Notamacropus eugenii: one gene and its partner. Each later gene encodes a partner of the first gene's protein in a complex. Links are inferred from orthologs where the notes say so. Each region holds a gene or a part of one and is shown on either strand. Other genes may lie near its edges.

The links.
Region 2: the proteins of MUSK (region 1) and DOK7 are in contact, whole or in part, in a crystal structure (PDB 3ML4), measured with the Mus musculus proteins. The link is inferred for Notamacropus eugenii from reciprocal best matches to the Homo sapiens genes MUSK and DOK7. Residues at the interface, in NP_035074.2 of Mus musculus: Leu547, His548, Pro549, Asn550, Pro551, Met552, Tyr553, Gln554, Arg555; in NP_001335203.1 of Mus musculus: Leu154, Ser155, Asp156, Leu157, Arg158, Arg159, Tyr160, Gly161, Gly172, Thr173, Arg174, Ser193, Asp197, Val200, Arg201.

The regions. Positions count from the first base shown.
Region 1 is NC_092872.1:97,448,611-97,455,911, reverse strand, and holds the start of MUSK (muscle, skeletal receptor tyrosine-protein kinase), read left to right. Parts: upstream 1-4,278; 5' UTR 4,279-4,498; coding exon 4,499-4,577; intron 4,578-7,301.
Region 2 is NC_092877.1:53,964,960-53,971,914, forward strand, and holds the start of DOK7 (protein Dok-7), read left to right. Parts: upstream 1-3,948; 5' UTR 3,949-4,105; coding exon 4,106-4,159; intron 4,160-4,303; coding exon 4,304-4,349; intron 4,350-5,029; exon of another isoform or gene 5,030-5,177; intron 5,178-6,955. UniProt on the Homo sapiens protein: Probable muscle-intrinsic activator of MUSK that plays an essential role in neuromuscular synaptogenesis. Acts in aneural activation of MUSK and subsequent acetylcholine receptor (AchR) clustering in myotubes. Induces autophosphorylation of MUSK.

The sequences.
Region 1 (7,301 bases):
TGTCAAGAAAACCCCAAATGGGGTCATGAAGAATTGGAACAGGACCAAAGTGACTAAACAATGACAAGCCAACACTGTGGTGGTGAGCAACCATTATCAACATTAGTATTAATGCAAGTTGGCTTTCTTGCAAAATTCCTTTTATTGAGAAAAGTCTCATTTGAGTTTCAAGGAAAAATGAAACAATATTTTGTAAGAGAAATATAGATGTGAAACACTACAGAGATAGTGTATTGTGTATAATTATATATAATATATTATATATAATAGTATAATTATAATTTCATCCACAGAGTGTGTCTCAGGGTAATACATCATCATTCGCAAGCTTCTGGATAATGCTTACAGAGGTGGCCCAAAAGTTGCAAATGGACCCAGATGTTCATCACAACTCATACACTCTGCCAGAGAGAATCTCATCCTGCAGTCATCAGAAATGTACCTGCATACCTGATGATTTTTTTAAGCAAGAAGTTTACATAAACAACAAGATGTTTCCCTTGAAAGGAAAAATATGGTGATTTATTCCTACTAAAAGACAGAGATTTCCCTGGGTATGGGTAACAGCTACCCATAAAAATGTTATAAAATCATCCTTGGCTTTACAATGATACATTAAGATTATTCAAACAAGATATGCAATGATTTGTGTGTGTGTGTGTGTGTGTGTGTGTTGTTGTTGTTGTAAAAGAGTGACAGCAAAACAACTTACTGGAATATAAAGATAAAAGTTGAATAAGCATGCCGCTAATAAAAAAAAAAAAAGATTTCCACAGAACATTTGTTTTCTCCCATTTCATGTTGATCAAAATATTGACCATTTGATTAAAAAAAAACATATTCTGCCTGTGTACATCCACAAGTTATTTTATATACAATAAAGGAATGGGGGAAAGGAATTAAAAAAAGAGAGAAAAACATAGTGCAATGTCAGTCAGACTGTGGATGAACCAAATCTTGGTTTTCCAATTGTTAATGTGTTGTTTTCCTCGCTGGCATTGTGCAGTAGAGGTCCAGGTCTTCTTTTTAGGAAATGCCTCCTGTCTGTTGTTGAAATACATGAATTGCATCTTCAGCCTCCAATTCCAACTTTGCTTGGCTGCCAGTCTGCCCGAGGGACAAACCTTGTTGTTCGCAATAGGCTTTCATTAGTTTTACTAAGTGGCTGTGCCTCTTAACCTTAAATTGAACTGCCACCTTCAAATGAATGTGGCTCTTGACTCCTTCCTGAGGCTTTTTGTAAGTCAGAGCAAGTTGGGGGGGGGGGGTTCTCTTCAGCTGCACCAGGATGGTCTTCACCAAGGAAATTGGGGGGAAAGTAGCAGTGTCAGGAGCAGGAGCAGAAATGTACCTGTATACATTATTACAGACCCTTGTTTCTTTTTCTTGTTGTTATTCTTGAAGAACACTGAATTTAGGTGTCTGATGATGGAAGCTTGAACCTTAACTTTGTTGTGTAATAATTTTGTGACCCTGGGAGAGTCACTTCATTTCTCTGGGCCTCAGTTTCCATCATTTATAACTTGAGGGAATTGGATTGCATCATCTACAAGGTCCTTTCTAGGTCTAAGCTCCATGAGGTCTATAACTGGTATAGTAATTCTGAGATTTAATAGACACAAAACAAACCAAAAAACAGGCTAGTCCTTTGAATATAGTCAGTCAACTGTCAGATTGTGTCATCACTAAAGCCTGTCTAACTTGCTGCTCTCCAGGGGACTTGCCTTTGAGATGACTGAGTCACCTTAACACAATGATAAAAGCCTACAGAGTAAGACCTTAATGGATGAAACAGAGAAAACAAAGTGTTAAATTGCATATACAGAGAATATTTTATAATTTGATGATATATCATTACATTAAGATGTCATGTAATTATGTCATTATATAATATCATGACATTATATCAGGATATAATCATGTCAGATTATGAGGAATAATACCATTATCTCTGTCCTAAAATAAAGCATTAATTGTGTTGTACAGAAAAAAAGTACAAAAGGAAGACTCCAAGGTCTAAAGGGGCCTTAAAGAGGTATTGACAAGCTTCTTGAGGTCAGGGGCTAGTTCTGTATATATTTGTTTCATGGTCCCCAGCACAGTGGGAATATAATAAACACTTTGCATTATGTATTAACACATAATTTGTTTTCAATAAACATTTGTTGAATGAATGAGTTGGAACTGTAGCTGTCCCTTGAGGGATGAGTAGAGTATAGATTGGTGAAGAGGAAAATAAAACTACGCATGATGGGGTTGGGGGAGGGGGGAGGGAGGAAATAATGACACTGTCCTGGCTAGAACAAGTAGTATGAGGAAGTAATGGGAAATAAAACAGATAGTAAATTCAGGTCCACAATTCCTTTATCAGTCAATTAATCAGTCAATTAGCAAATAAGTGCTTACTATTGTAGTGCCAATGCAATATTCACAGTGCCTCTGTTGTCTGTAAATATCTCTGCATGGTTCTGAATTGCAAAATACCAGACTCTCCACATGGAAGACAGAACCAAAACATTTATTCAGACACCAGAAAGCCAAATCCATCACAGTAACAAAAATCCATACACAATAACAATGCAGAAGACAATACCATCCCCAAGCCCTCCCTCTGTTAGGCTTCCCATAAACCAGCTCCATTAGACAAATCACAAACAAGCTCTCTCGTTCACACTAGCCAGCTGCCTACTCGCCTGCATCTTTCCTAGCTCTGACTAGACTGACCAACTTCCTCTCAGCTCTGTTCTAGCTCTGCCTCTCCCTATTCTACCCCTTCAGCAAACTTCTCCCACCCCAAGCTCCCTATGACTCAGACTTCCACATGACTCAGGCAGATCACATGGATCTATTGATGAATGGGAAAGATCTCCCCATTTAAATTGTGATTTATAACTATGTGTTAGGCACTGTGATAAGGGCTGGGGCTTGGTGGAGCTCACTTTCTAATGTGGGATACAAGATGCAAACAATTATACAAAGATACACATCGTGTAAAAGGGACATCATCTAGAAGGAAGGCATGAGCAGAATGTGTGTGGTATAGGTAGGGGGGAGTAAACCAGGAAAAATCCCTTGCAGAAGGTGAGAATTGAGTTGAATCTTAAAGGAAGCCAGGAGGCAGAGGTTCTCAATGTCCTCAGATCTAAAATGATGGGACCTGAGGTCCCTCAGAGTTCTAAAGCTAAGATCCTATGAAATGATCTAGGAAGTTGCACCTCTTGACCAACAAATGGAACTTTATTCTTTGCCTTTGTCTCCAAAGGCATACATAGCTTAAGAGAAGCAAAAATAAAGATCTGACAGGGGTACCCTCCTAGCCAGCTACATTAACTCTGTTGACTAATTTATTGAAAAATGTCACAGCCAGATGACTCTCAAATTCTTATCTAAAGAAGGTAGAAATCAGTGAAGTTAGGAAAAGGCAAATATACAACAAAGGTGAGAAAGATGGCATAATTTCAAAAGATAGATAAAAAGATGATGGGAATGAATCTGGGAATTCAGGGGAAAGCCAAACTCAGACTGGGAGATAGAAAGATAAATTGAGAAATAGTAGCCTCATTCATGAATTTTCAATTAAGGAAAGGTTAAGCTGATAATAGCAAACTGATAAAGGGAGGGGATTAAAATCAAAATTGGAGGACATTCAAAGGATAGACATGAAGTGGCAAAGTAGGACAAGTAAAAAGTTGGGAAAAGTAGAGGGGAAGAAAAAGAGGAAATAGAGAGGTGAAGCAAAATGAAAGGAGAAGAAGAAGTATTGAGAAAGAAAAAAAGGAAGAGAAAGGTGTAGGGAAATTATTTGAGACAATAAAGAAGGAGCTAGGAGGGCTGGCTTGGCTGTGTGCTTGTGTGGTTTGTCCTTCATTTTGAAAGAGGACTATGACATCAGGAAGATGGTGCCATGACTTGCAAATAAATTGGATTTAAGTGAGGAGGACTATTGGGTTGGTGAGGGGGCTGAGAGGAGCCTTGAGTAAGAGCTGGGAAGAGAGAAATCAAAAGGAAAATATGTAGTGAGAATAAGATAGAAGGTGAGGATAATTGCAGGAAGAGATGGGAGAGACTGCAAACTCCTCAGATGAAGAGTCATGCAGTCTTGATACATTTGTATAAGCTGATTTGAAAGATCAGTAAAAAAAAAAAAATGTACCATTCAGGTTAAGTTATTGTTTGGGAAAGGCATCTGGCATCGTATCCCTGACATTTCTTAAAAAGGATTCTAAAGGGATTTGCATTCTCTTGTTTCTGCAGACCCACGTTTGCATACTGCCCTAAGTGGATGCCCACCAGCTGGCCGTGTCCATCACACAGCCAAGTCTGAGAATTCCTGATTATACTTAGCCCCTGCGGAGCTTGGAGCACAGACAGTCCGTAGGAGGAGACCCTTGGTAACAAACCAAGCTTTAAAATGTAACCTGGGGGGGAGGCATTTTCCTATTTTTGCTGGGACACAGATTTCTTCTCCTTCTCCCCCCCTCCATCTTGGATTATAACCATGAGAGAGCCAGTCAACATTCCACTTGTACACATCCTTGCCCTGGCTGCCTTCAGCCTGGCCGAGAAGCTTCCAAAAGGTTGGTTTGAACGAACTCATGTTCTTGCATAGTCACTGTCTGTGGGGGTGTATGGTGTGTGTGTGTGTGTGTGTGTGTGTGTCTGTGTGTGTGTGTCTGTGTCTGTGTGGGTCTGTGTGTGTGTGTCTGTGTCTGTGTGTGTGTATCACAGCTGCAGCTCATTAACACTCTTTGTGGGTGTTCAGTCATTCTTGGGGACTGAGTAGGCAGGAGGGCAGGGGTAAAGGGAAGGGAGGGAAATTGTATAAATAAGCATACCTGGTCCCTTTGCATTTGGCTGGCATGGTGTCTTTTTTCCCCAACAAAAAGTCTGCTCACAGAAACCTACCTCTCTTCGATTGCCAGGGAAAGTTGAAGCAGGTAGACCCCTAACTGCTGGAACATTTTCCTGATTGTATGAGCCAAACTTCAGTGTGGTTGAAAGTGGCAAGAGAGGAGTTTTGGGTTATTTTTATATATGGTTAACCACAGTATATGGATAGAGTGCTGGCTGGACTCAAAAGCCAGGAAGACCCTGGTTTGAATCCTGCCTCAAGTACTTACCAGTTTTGGGACGCTAGAAAAATCACCTAACACCTCTAAACCTCAGTTTGTCATCTGTAAAAAGAGGTGGTTGAATTCTTTTACTTCTAAGGCCTCTTTCTGAGAAGGGAAGAAGCATATATTATGTGCCTATTATGTGCCAGGTGTCGTAAGACTTTACAAATACCATTGCTCTCTAAACGAATCCTAAGAGTCTGAGGAGCCCTTTCCTTAAGCACTCATCTCCTTTTTTTCTAATTCAAAAATTAATTTTCCCCCCAATTTAATTGTATTTTCAAATAGGGCTGCAGCTTGTGAAACAGAAGTAAACCGTAATTAATATAAAACATTAAGAGCTAAAAAAAATAAAAACTCAGTTAAGAATACCTTTTGAGACAGGATTTGGCTGAGAAGGAGATGGCCCAAGTTTTTTTCTGGGCCATTCAAATGCACCGGAAATAACACCACCTCAGAGGGGAGAGGAAGGCAACTTAAGAAACTGATGAGCACCTGTTACCCTAGGAGGAATGTCCGAGGCCTGATCATTCTTGGCTAGTGATTTGTTAGGCTGGGGAAAGGGCTGGTTAGTATGCTGTGAAGTGCCAGCGAACCCTATTATAGCTTCTGATTTACAAAGAAAAAAAGACAGGGCATTCTAAAACCATTTAATTTAGTGGTAGAAACAGGTATTCTGAGATGGAGAGAGCTTTCACAAAGATTGGGCAAGAGTGAATGAATACTATAAGCCAGATAAAAGAGAAAAGGACGTAATTATGAAGTTTGTTAGAAACACAAAGTGAAAGGAATCTATTTTTTAAAAGATTGGCTTTCTCTATTTTTTTCTTTCTTAAAACCAAAAAAAAAAAAATCATATTTCTGATTTGAAAAAGCCTATTTTATAGCACCCAAGTAACATGGAAGGTAAATTAGAAGTTGAAGGACCTCAGCTCAGATCCTGACTGCCACTTACTACTTTGTGACCTTTGGGTAAGTCACTCTAGGACTCAGTTTCCTAATCTGAAAAAATGATGTGATTGATTTGGATGACCATTAATGCAGGAGTTCTTAGCCTTTTTGTGTGTCATTGACCTCTCTAGTAGTCTGATGAAACCTAGGTGCCCCTTCTCAGAATAGTTTTTAATTTATAAAATGAATAAGATTGCAAAAGAAGCTAATTATGTTGAAATGCGGATGTAATATTCCCCCCATTCAAGTTCAGAAACTGTTTCAAATCTGTCTATACACTTATGGACCCCAAGTTAAGAACCCCTTCTCTGAGGTCTTTAAACTATTGTTCTCTTGATTCTGATATCTCTAGAGAAAGGGCAGAGGAGCCTGAGAAAGTGCCTGTACTTTAATAGTGTTGCAGAAATGTGGGAGCTGCAAGATTAGGGATGTAAACTAGACATAATAGAGAGGCAACCTCTAGAATTTGGTCCATCTTCTCAGCATAAGTCATATGTTCATCATACTATTTTTAGGAAATCCTAGATTTTAAAATGTAAACTCCTCAGGTAGACACAAATTAAAAAACGCTTCTGCTGTGGCTAATAATAAGTAGAAAAAATTTGTATTGACCTTGGTTCATTTTAATACTTCCTGAATACACCATGGATGTCCAATGCCATGTGTATAGTGTTGAAGATAGGCCTATGTCTTATTTGTGCTATTTTAAATCGTGGAGTTATCTAAAAAACTTCCTGATTATATCTTAGTTTACATGTCACACACAGGATATCCAGTTATAACACAGGTCAGGAGAGGCCATGTTTATTTCTTTTGACTTTATAGACCAGTATTTAGTTAAAGCTTTCTGTGTGGACAATCACTAATTTTAAATTCCAGAAAGTTTTGATGTATAGTTTATAAATTTCAAAGATTGGTATCTTCCTATAAAAACAAATTACATTCCTTTCAGAATTTTCCCAAAGGATGGGAAGAAAATGGCGGCACAGTTGAATTGCTGATTGGACTGCCATTGTACAGCATTCTAATTGCATCAAAATATCTAAAGGATATCCTGGTTTTTTTTTTAACTGAAATGACTTTTTGGGATGAATTTTGGAAGATTTCTAAAATATAATTATAAAAGTATTTGCAAACCATGAAGTACTATATAAATGTGAGTATGTATTTTAAATCTAAATTTATCTGGATTTTTCATACTTTTCACATCAAGTTGCTCCTCTGTCCAAAGCACAG
Region 2 (6,955 bases), on another chromosome or scaffold:
GCCCCCCCCCCTGCTTAAATTACTTTTAAATGATTAAAGAACCCCAAAACACAAATTTCACCTTTTACCCAAAGTAAAAGTATTCCAACAGTATGCACTTCTGCAATCAGCGAAAGCCAGTTTCCAGCTGACCTCTGAACCATATGCTTGACTTTTCTTTCTTGGACTTACTGGTTTCTGGAGCCCCAGAATATTTTATCAGCCAATTATTGTATTTCTTTTCCTTCTCACCTTCCTCCAACAGCTCCACAATCTTATTGTTTCCCCTTGATAATCTTATAAAAATAACCCCAAACCCACTTTTTTCTACCTACTCTGAAACAGACTATGCTGTTTATAGACCCTCGAGTTCTCACAGCTTTGCCTCTGGTGTCTTATCTGAATCTCCTCGGCCAGTCCAGAGGCAAGTGAGTTGTTAATGTCTGTCCTCTTTGTGGGAGTTCTATGGAGACAGACACAGTTATGAGCATGACAGTATCTGAAAGAGGAGGTGACTGGCCTCCTAGCTAAAAGATGAATGAACTTCCTCCTGGCTTCTCCTTCCCCAACATTCTCTTGTCCTTGAGTGGGTGCCAGTCTGACTAACTATTCTTAATCTCACTGTGTCCTGAGAAATCCATTAAAATTAAAAGATAAATAATGATGATAATATTTGACACTTATATTCTGCTTTATAGTCTGGAAAAGTACTTACTGTCCATTCTCTCATGTGATAAAGTTTAAATGCCTTAACTTAAGGGGACATTCACAGATCTCTACGACTTAGGAACAAGCTATATTCAATTCAATCCATAAGATTGTAGACATTAGGGCTGGGAAAGAGCTGAAACCATCTTGATCAATTCTCTCATTTTACAGATGAGGAAACTAAAGCCCAGAAAAGTTAAGTTACCCAAGACCAAAGAGGTAATAAGTAGCCAGGTCTTGACTCCAGATCAAATGGTCTTTCCAGAGTATAACAGTGCTTTAGCAATTCAATTCAATAATTTAATTCAATGTAATAGGTTAAGAAAGCCAGGGATCACATCAGTGAGTTGTTCCCAGGCAACTTAATGAAATTATGTGTGTGTTCATCCTTCATTGCCGAAGAAGACCATGCCATCAGAGATATGATGACATGATTTGCACTTGACTTTGTTTTTTGAGTGAGGGAGGGCTGTGCAGGTCACCAGCCTCACTTCTCCTCCAGAGTCATCTGGATCCAGTGATCAGATATTCATTAGAATGACTGGAGATGACCCAAGATGAGGCAATTGGGGTTAAGTGACTTGCCCAAGGTCATACAGCTAGTGAGTGTCAAGTGTCTGAGGTGAGATTTGAACTCAGGTCCTCCTGACTCCTGCACTGGGGCTCTATCCACTGCACCACCTAGCTGCCCCTAATGAAATTATAGGCCTTTGATGGAAGAGTTCACCTCTCATGGAGGTAGACAAACATCCTAGTCCTTTGCTGGGGTGGGGAAAAAAGTGCAGATGAGTCCTCTTGTTGTTCCCAAGTGACTGAGGCAGCTTCCAAGATGATGGGCTGATTGAGGTCCTGGATGTGGTTGAAGGGCATGCCTGTCTCTGGTCTATAAGAGGGAAATGGTCCATCCCTTTATATCCTTTTCCTTTAATGGAGTGGATTTTCTCTCTCTTGGACTTCCAGATCAGATGCAGCAAGGGAGAGCAAGGCAGGTGAGGGAAGGTAGATGGAGAAGACAATGACTTGCAGGAAAAGCTCAGTTGGTCAGTGGTCCCCGTAGGTCTGACAGGGCAACTCTTTCCTGACTGCCTTCTTTAGTTTGGTTTTCCTTTTCTGACTATAGGTCAGAGGCTTGTGATTCTGAAAATAAGTGTATCCAGCCCGGGAGGTTACCCAGTATGTTGTACTGAGTTTGAGAGTTCTTAAGTTCTAGAGTCAGGCCCTTGGTAGTGCACAGTTTGAAGAAGGAAGAAGACAGTCCTGAAACTATCCTAAAGCCATATCATGACAGGACAAGAGATCTGGATTTAGCTAACCCTCCATGATATTGGCCTTAGTTACACAGTGCAGGTCCAAAGTGAACCTGCTTGTTCAGTAGTCATACAAAGAGCTTTTACCTTCCTGGGAAGTTTAATGAGTATAATGGGTTATTTGAGTGTTGTATGTTTCTTATTTATGGTAATAAACACCCAAATCCTTTGTATCTTATATATTTCCTATGGTAGGTAAAATAAAAACTATCTCATACTTGATATCAATATTGTATACTGAGTACTTGTTTTGGAGCTGGGGACCCTGTTGCACACATTTGGGGACACCTAAACACTCACCATACCACAAGCCAGGGAGAAATAACTCTTGGTTGAGCCCCAAGGGTAAAAGTTGGTTTATGTGAGCTGAGTTCCCTAAAGACTTGTGAGGCCTAGAGTCCCATGGATGACATCCACAATTATTAAGTGCCTACTATTGGATTGACTGTTAAGAGAAAGGAGACTTCTGCATGTTTCTAATGACTACCTACATATGTACAAGAAGAGGCATGAGGGTTATCAGGATAGGAAAAGGAAGTGGGTTGGTGATATATTGGGATTGAAGGAAGATAGGTGGACAGTCTGTGTGTTGCACTGGTACCCACACAATATTTTAAAACACCAACAAGAGATCTCTAGTACATTGGGTAGATCCTTAGGTCTGTAGGAAAACATGGATTTGAACTACACTGTTTAATCTGTAAGGGTTTACAGATTATTTTTTCCCTCAACATCCTTGTGAGGTACACAGTATAAGTATTTTAACCCCCATTATATAGATAAGGAAGCTGAAACTCAAAAGTAATTAGTTCAGGGTCCCCCAGCAAAGACTGGGTTAGAGATGAGATTCAAACCCAGGTTTCTCTAGACTCCAAATCCAGTATTCTTTCAACTACCTCACACTATTTTGGCACTGTCCTTCTGGTGCAAGAAGAGCAAATACCAAGAGTTCATAGGATTATAGACTAATAGCTGAAAGGAACTTTAGCTACCTGTTCCTCTCTGTTCCTCAGTTCCCTTATATGTAAAATGAGGGGCTTGGAACAGAGAGGAACAGGTAGGGGCAGTAAATTATAAAAAGATCATTGGGCTTTGGAGTGAGAGGCTTCAGGTGTACATTATGCCTTTGACACTAACTCCTGTATGACTTCCAAGCAAATAATTTTAACCTCTGTGTCTCTTTTTCCTCCTCTTTAAAATAGATGATTTCACTAGATGGTCTCCAAGGTAGTCTTCTTTGTCTGAGCAAAGTGAGTTCTTCCTGGAACATCCATTTTGGAGAACGTCCCAGACCAGCCATCCTTTATTCTTTAGATGACACCATGTTTCATCTTCCTTCCCCCTCCATCCAGGCTGCTGTTTTCCCACCGTTGAGTTCTTTCCAGAATCTCTGTTTTGGGGGAAGGACCCAGATTTGCCTTAATGCTTAGCACAGTTTGTTGCATATACCAAGGGCTAAATAAATGCTCATTGGCGTAAAGATCTTTCTTGCTGTTCTCACGTGTACAGGCATGTGTACCTACACCTGCTGGTACACGCTACTATCATATCCAGCGTCTTCCTGGTAGTTTTCAGCACATTGCTATCTTTTGAATTTCCTAAGGCCTATCGACCCTCAGGTCGGTCCATTTTTCTCAAGTTAGCAGCTGAGGATGGGGAGAAAAGGGAGGTCTTAACTGGAGGGGCAGCATACATTCATGGAGAAGCCGACTGGTGTGAAAGAACATCTGGATTTGGATCTGGGAGCTGAGAAGCTCCGCAATTGTGGTCACACCTCAGGCTCCTCATCTGTAAAATGGGGACAGTAAGGGCTGTACCCCATACCTCCCGATGCTCTGGGGGTGAAACGCCAGGGACACGTGACGAGCCCTGTTCTTTCTGGCCTCTCCCACGCTTCGCTCTCCTCTCCGCCCGCCCCCCCGCCCCCTGGCCTGTCAAACAGTTCCCTCTCCTGTCAGCTCCTTCCCTCCTCCCTGTCCCTGCCCAGGGCCCTAATAAAGCTATTTTGAAAGTGACCCAGTCGGTCTGGCTGCCCGGGCGCCCGGAGGGGCAGAGCTCGGGAAGGGAGAGGCCGGAGCTGAGGGCGCAGCTGTTCGGAACCATGACTGAAGATGACGGATTCGGTGGTGGTGGAGGGTCAGGTCAAATTGAGAGATGGAAAAAAGGTGAGGGGCGCCTCAGACCTCCCCCTGCCATCAGGAGACCCCGCTCCCCTCCACTGGGGCCGCGGGGGCGGGGGCGGGACGGGGACGGGAGCCCCCCGCGCCCAGCCCAGCCCGTAACCCTGTGCTTTTCTGTCTCCCCCGCAGTGGAAAACTAGGTGGCTGGTGCTGCGCAAGCCGTCCCCGGTAGCAGGTAAGGCGGCGGGGCGCGGGGAGGGGGCGCGCGGCCTGCGGACTTCTGGGAAGGGGAGCGTAGCGGTGGGGGGGCGGTTCTGGAGAGGGGCGCGTGCGAGCGGGCACGTGACCAAGGGAAGGTGGGGAGGGGAGCCTCAGGTGAGGGGCGCAAGGCCACGTCCAGGTGACTAGGTGGGGTGAGGGGAGGGCTTCTGGGGAGGAGCTCGTGGCGAAGGGCGCGGTGTGGGGGGTGCTCCTGGGGAGGGGGCGCTTCTAGGGGAGGGGACGCTCCTGGGGAGGGGGCGCTTCTAGTGAAGGGGGCTTGACTTGGGAACCTGCGGCAGCGAGGGTGCACGTGGTGCTCTGTGGGGGACGGCTGGAGGCTCGAGATTTGGGGTCTGGGCTTGTTGGGAAGGGGTACGCGGTCTGACGGAAGAGGGGGCGCTCACTGTTCAGGACGAACTAGCCTGCCACGAGGGGTCTCCCAGGAGCCCCATTGCTGGGTTCCGACCGGGCAGGGCTCCCAAGAGGCTGTCCCGAGCTGCAGGGAACGATTGCTTCACCTGACCTTCTCTCTCTGGCGGCGGGGCGGGGCGGCACAAACCGACACTTTGATGGGGGTCGGAGGGGGTCCTGCAGCGGAGCAGTCGACCCAGACTCCCCCTTCTCCCAGCCCAACCTTAGCGAGAAGCGCCTTACCTATAGTGGCCCCCTTGGAATTGAATTCTGTGCCCTCCCCAGGCCCTGGTTTCTTTGCCCCGCATTATCTGCGAGCCTCTTAGTGCGAGCCCTGGGCCGCCCGAAATAGAAAGAGGATATTGAAGCGCACCCAAAGTGTAACAGAGAGGAGGGGAAGGTAACAGGATACGGGGGAGGAGGGCGCTTCAGGCCGCACCCCCACAGAAAGGCTAGGAGCCGCCTTTCCAGCCTCTGGACTCTCTGCTTCTCTCCCAATTGCTTGGCGGGGGTGGGGCGGGACACCTTGGCTCCTACCGGGGTCTTTTTAGGGAATGAGTCATAAATGAAGTGGGACACCGGGATCTTGAGTTATATCGATTTGTCCCCCACCCTTAGCCCATCACAGAATACCAGAACTGGAAGAGAACTTGACAACATCATAGTTCAGGTATATAAAGAGCATTATGGCTTAAAAACCGCTTACACGAATATATGTTAATATACGTCATCTCCTTTAATGTAGTGTCAGAAATGGAAGGCATTTTGAAGACCATGTAGCCCAATCGTCTCATTTTACAGATGGGGAAGCAGATCTGGAGTGGAAGTCTTTTGTGTAGCCTTAGATAGGAAGGAAACTCAGAAAGAACAGGTGCTGGGCCTCAGAAGTAGCTGCATTTCTGAACTGAATTGTGCAGCTGTAGGATGCATTCTTGTGAAGTTTTTCGTTCCTGTCATCTTGCCAGTTTGAATTGTCGAGCTGAATTATTGCCAAGCAATTAAAAGGAAAAAAAAAAAGATTTAGAAATGGGCACATCATAAGATCTAGGCATCCCTGTATCTCTAGTCTGGTTTATTAGTTTGATGAACTCCTTAAAAAAACCTTTATACCGTCCAGCCTTTTCCCTCCTGAGTCTCTATTTTCATAGCACTTAAGGCAGTTTCATAGAGTGACTAACCTTCTGATTCTTCCCCTTTCCTTACTTGAAGTGAGTTGAATATTTTCTGCAAAGGTGGGTTATTTTTGTTTTTTTTCCCCCTATTCTCTGTGCTTGGTTGGGGAAGAGGAGAAGTGAAATTCTATTTTCTTTAGAAAATTGTTAGTCAACATGCATTAGCTTTATCCATTTCAAGACCTCATTGAGCTGGTTTCCTGGATGAATTTGGTCTTTCAGTTCTTTGGTTTCAATACTGTGGGCACACTTGTGCGGTCTTTAAGCATTGTTAGATTTGCAGCTGTTTGAGGAAACAGGTGCCTCCGTACCATCATGCATGCCGGAGTTGTGTGAGTGTGTGTGTGTGTGTGTGTGTGTGTGTGTTGCCAGTGAATGAGCATGATAGGATGTTCTCTTTTTGGTCTAGGAAGTGATAGAAGTGCAGCTTCTTTTTATCCGTATTTGTAGGTGTTTTTGATATCAGTGAACAGAAGTTAGCAGCGCAGTTCTGGTTTTTTTACGCCCTAAGACCTAAAATAGGAGATATTAAGGACTCAGTGTCAGGACCCGTGGGTTTGAATGCTGGCGTTTATATTTGAAGTGGGTGATGCTGGGGTTGGGGGAGATCACTTCCTGTATCTGAGCCCTTAGAATGGGGGCTCCTTGAAGGTAGAGACAATAGCTTTGCCTTTCTTTGTACCTCCAAAGTTTAGCACAGTGACTAGCACCTGGTAAGCATTTAATAATCAACCAATAAATATGTATTAAGTGCCTACTATGTGCCCAGTTTTATGGGCTGTCTAGTCTGCTGGATACTGAAGTTTTCCTATATAGATAAGGCTTATTTGAGGAAAGCTTTTAGTTTGGAATATTCTACCAAATCAACCGGGCAGAAATTAAAAACAGGTGGGAGATGGAATGAGGCAAATTTACTTTTCACAAAAGGAAAAAAACCTGTTACAATGGGAGCTATCCAAAAAGTCAAACAGGGTGCCATAGCCCTCAATTCCCGCTC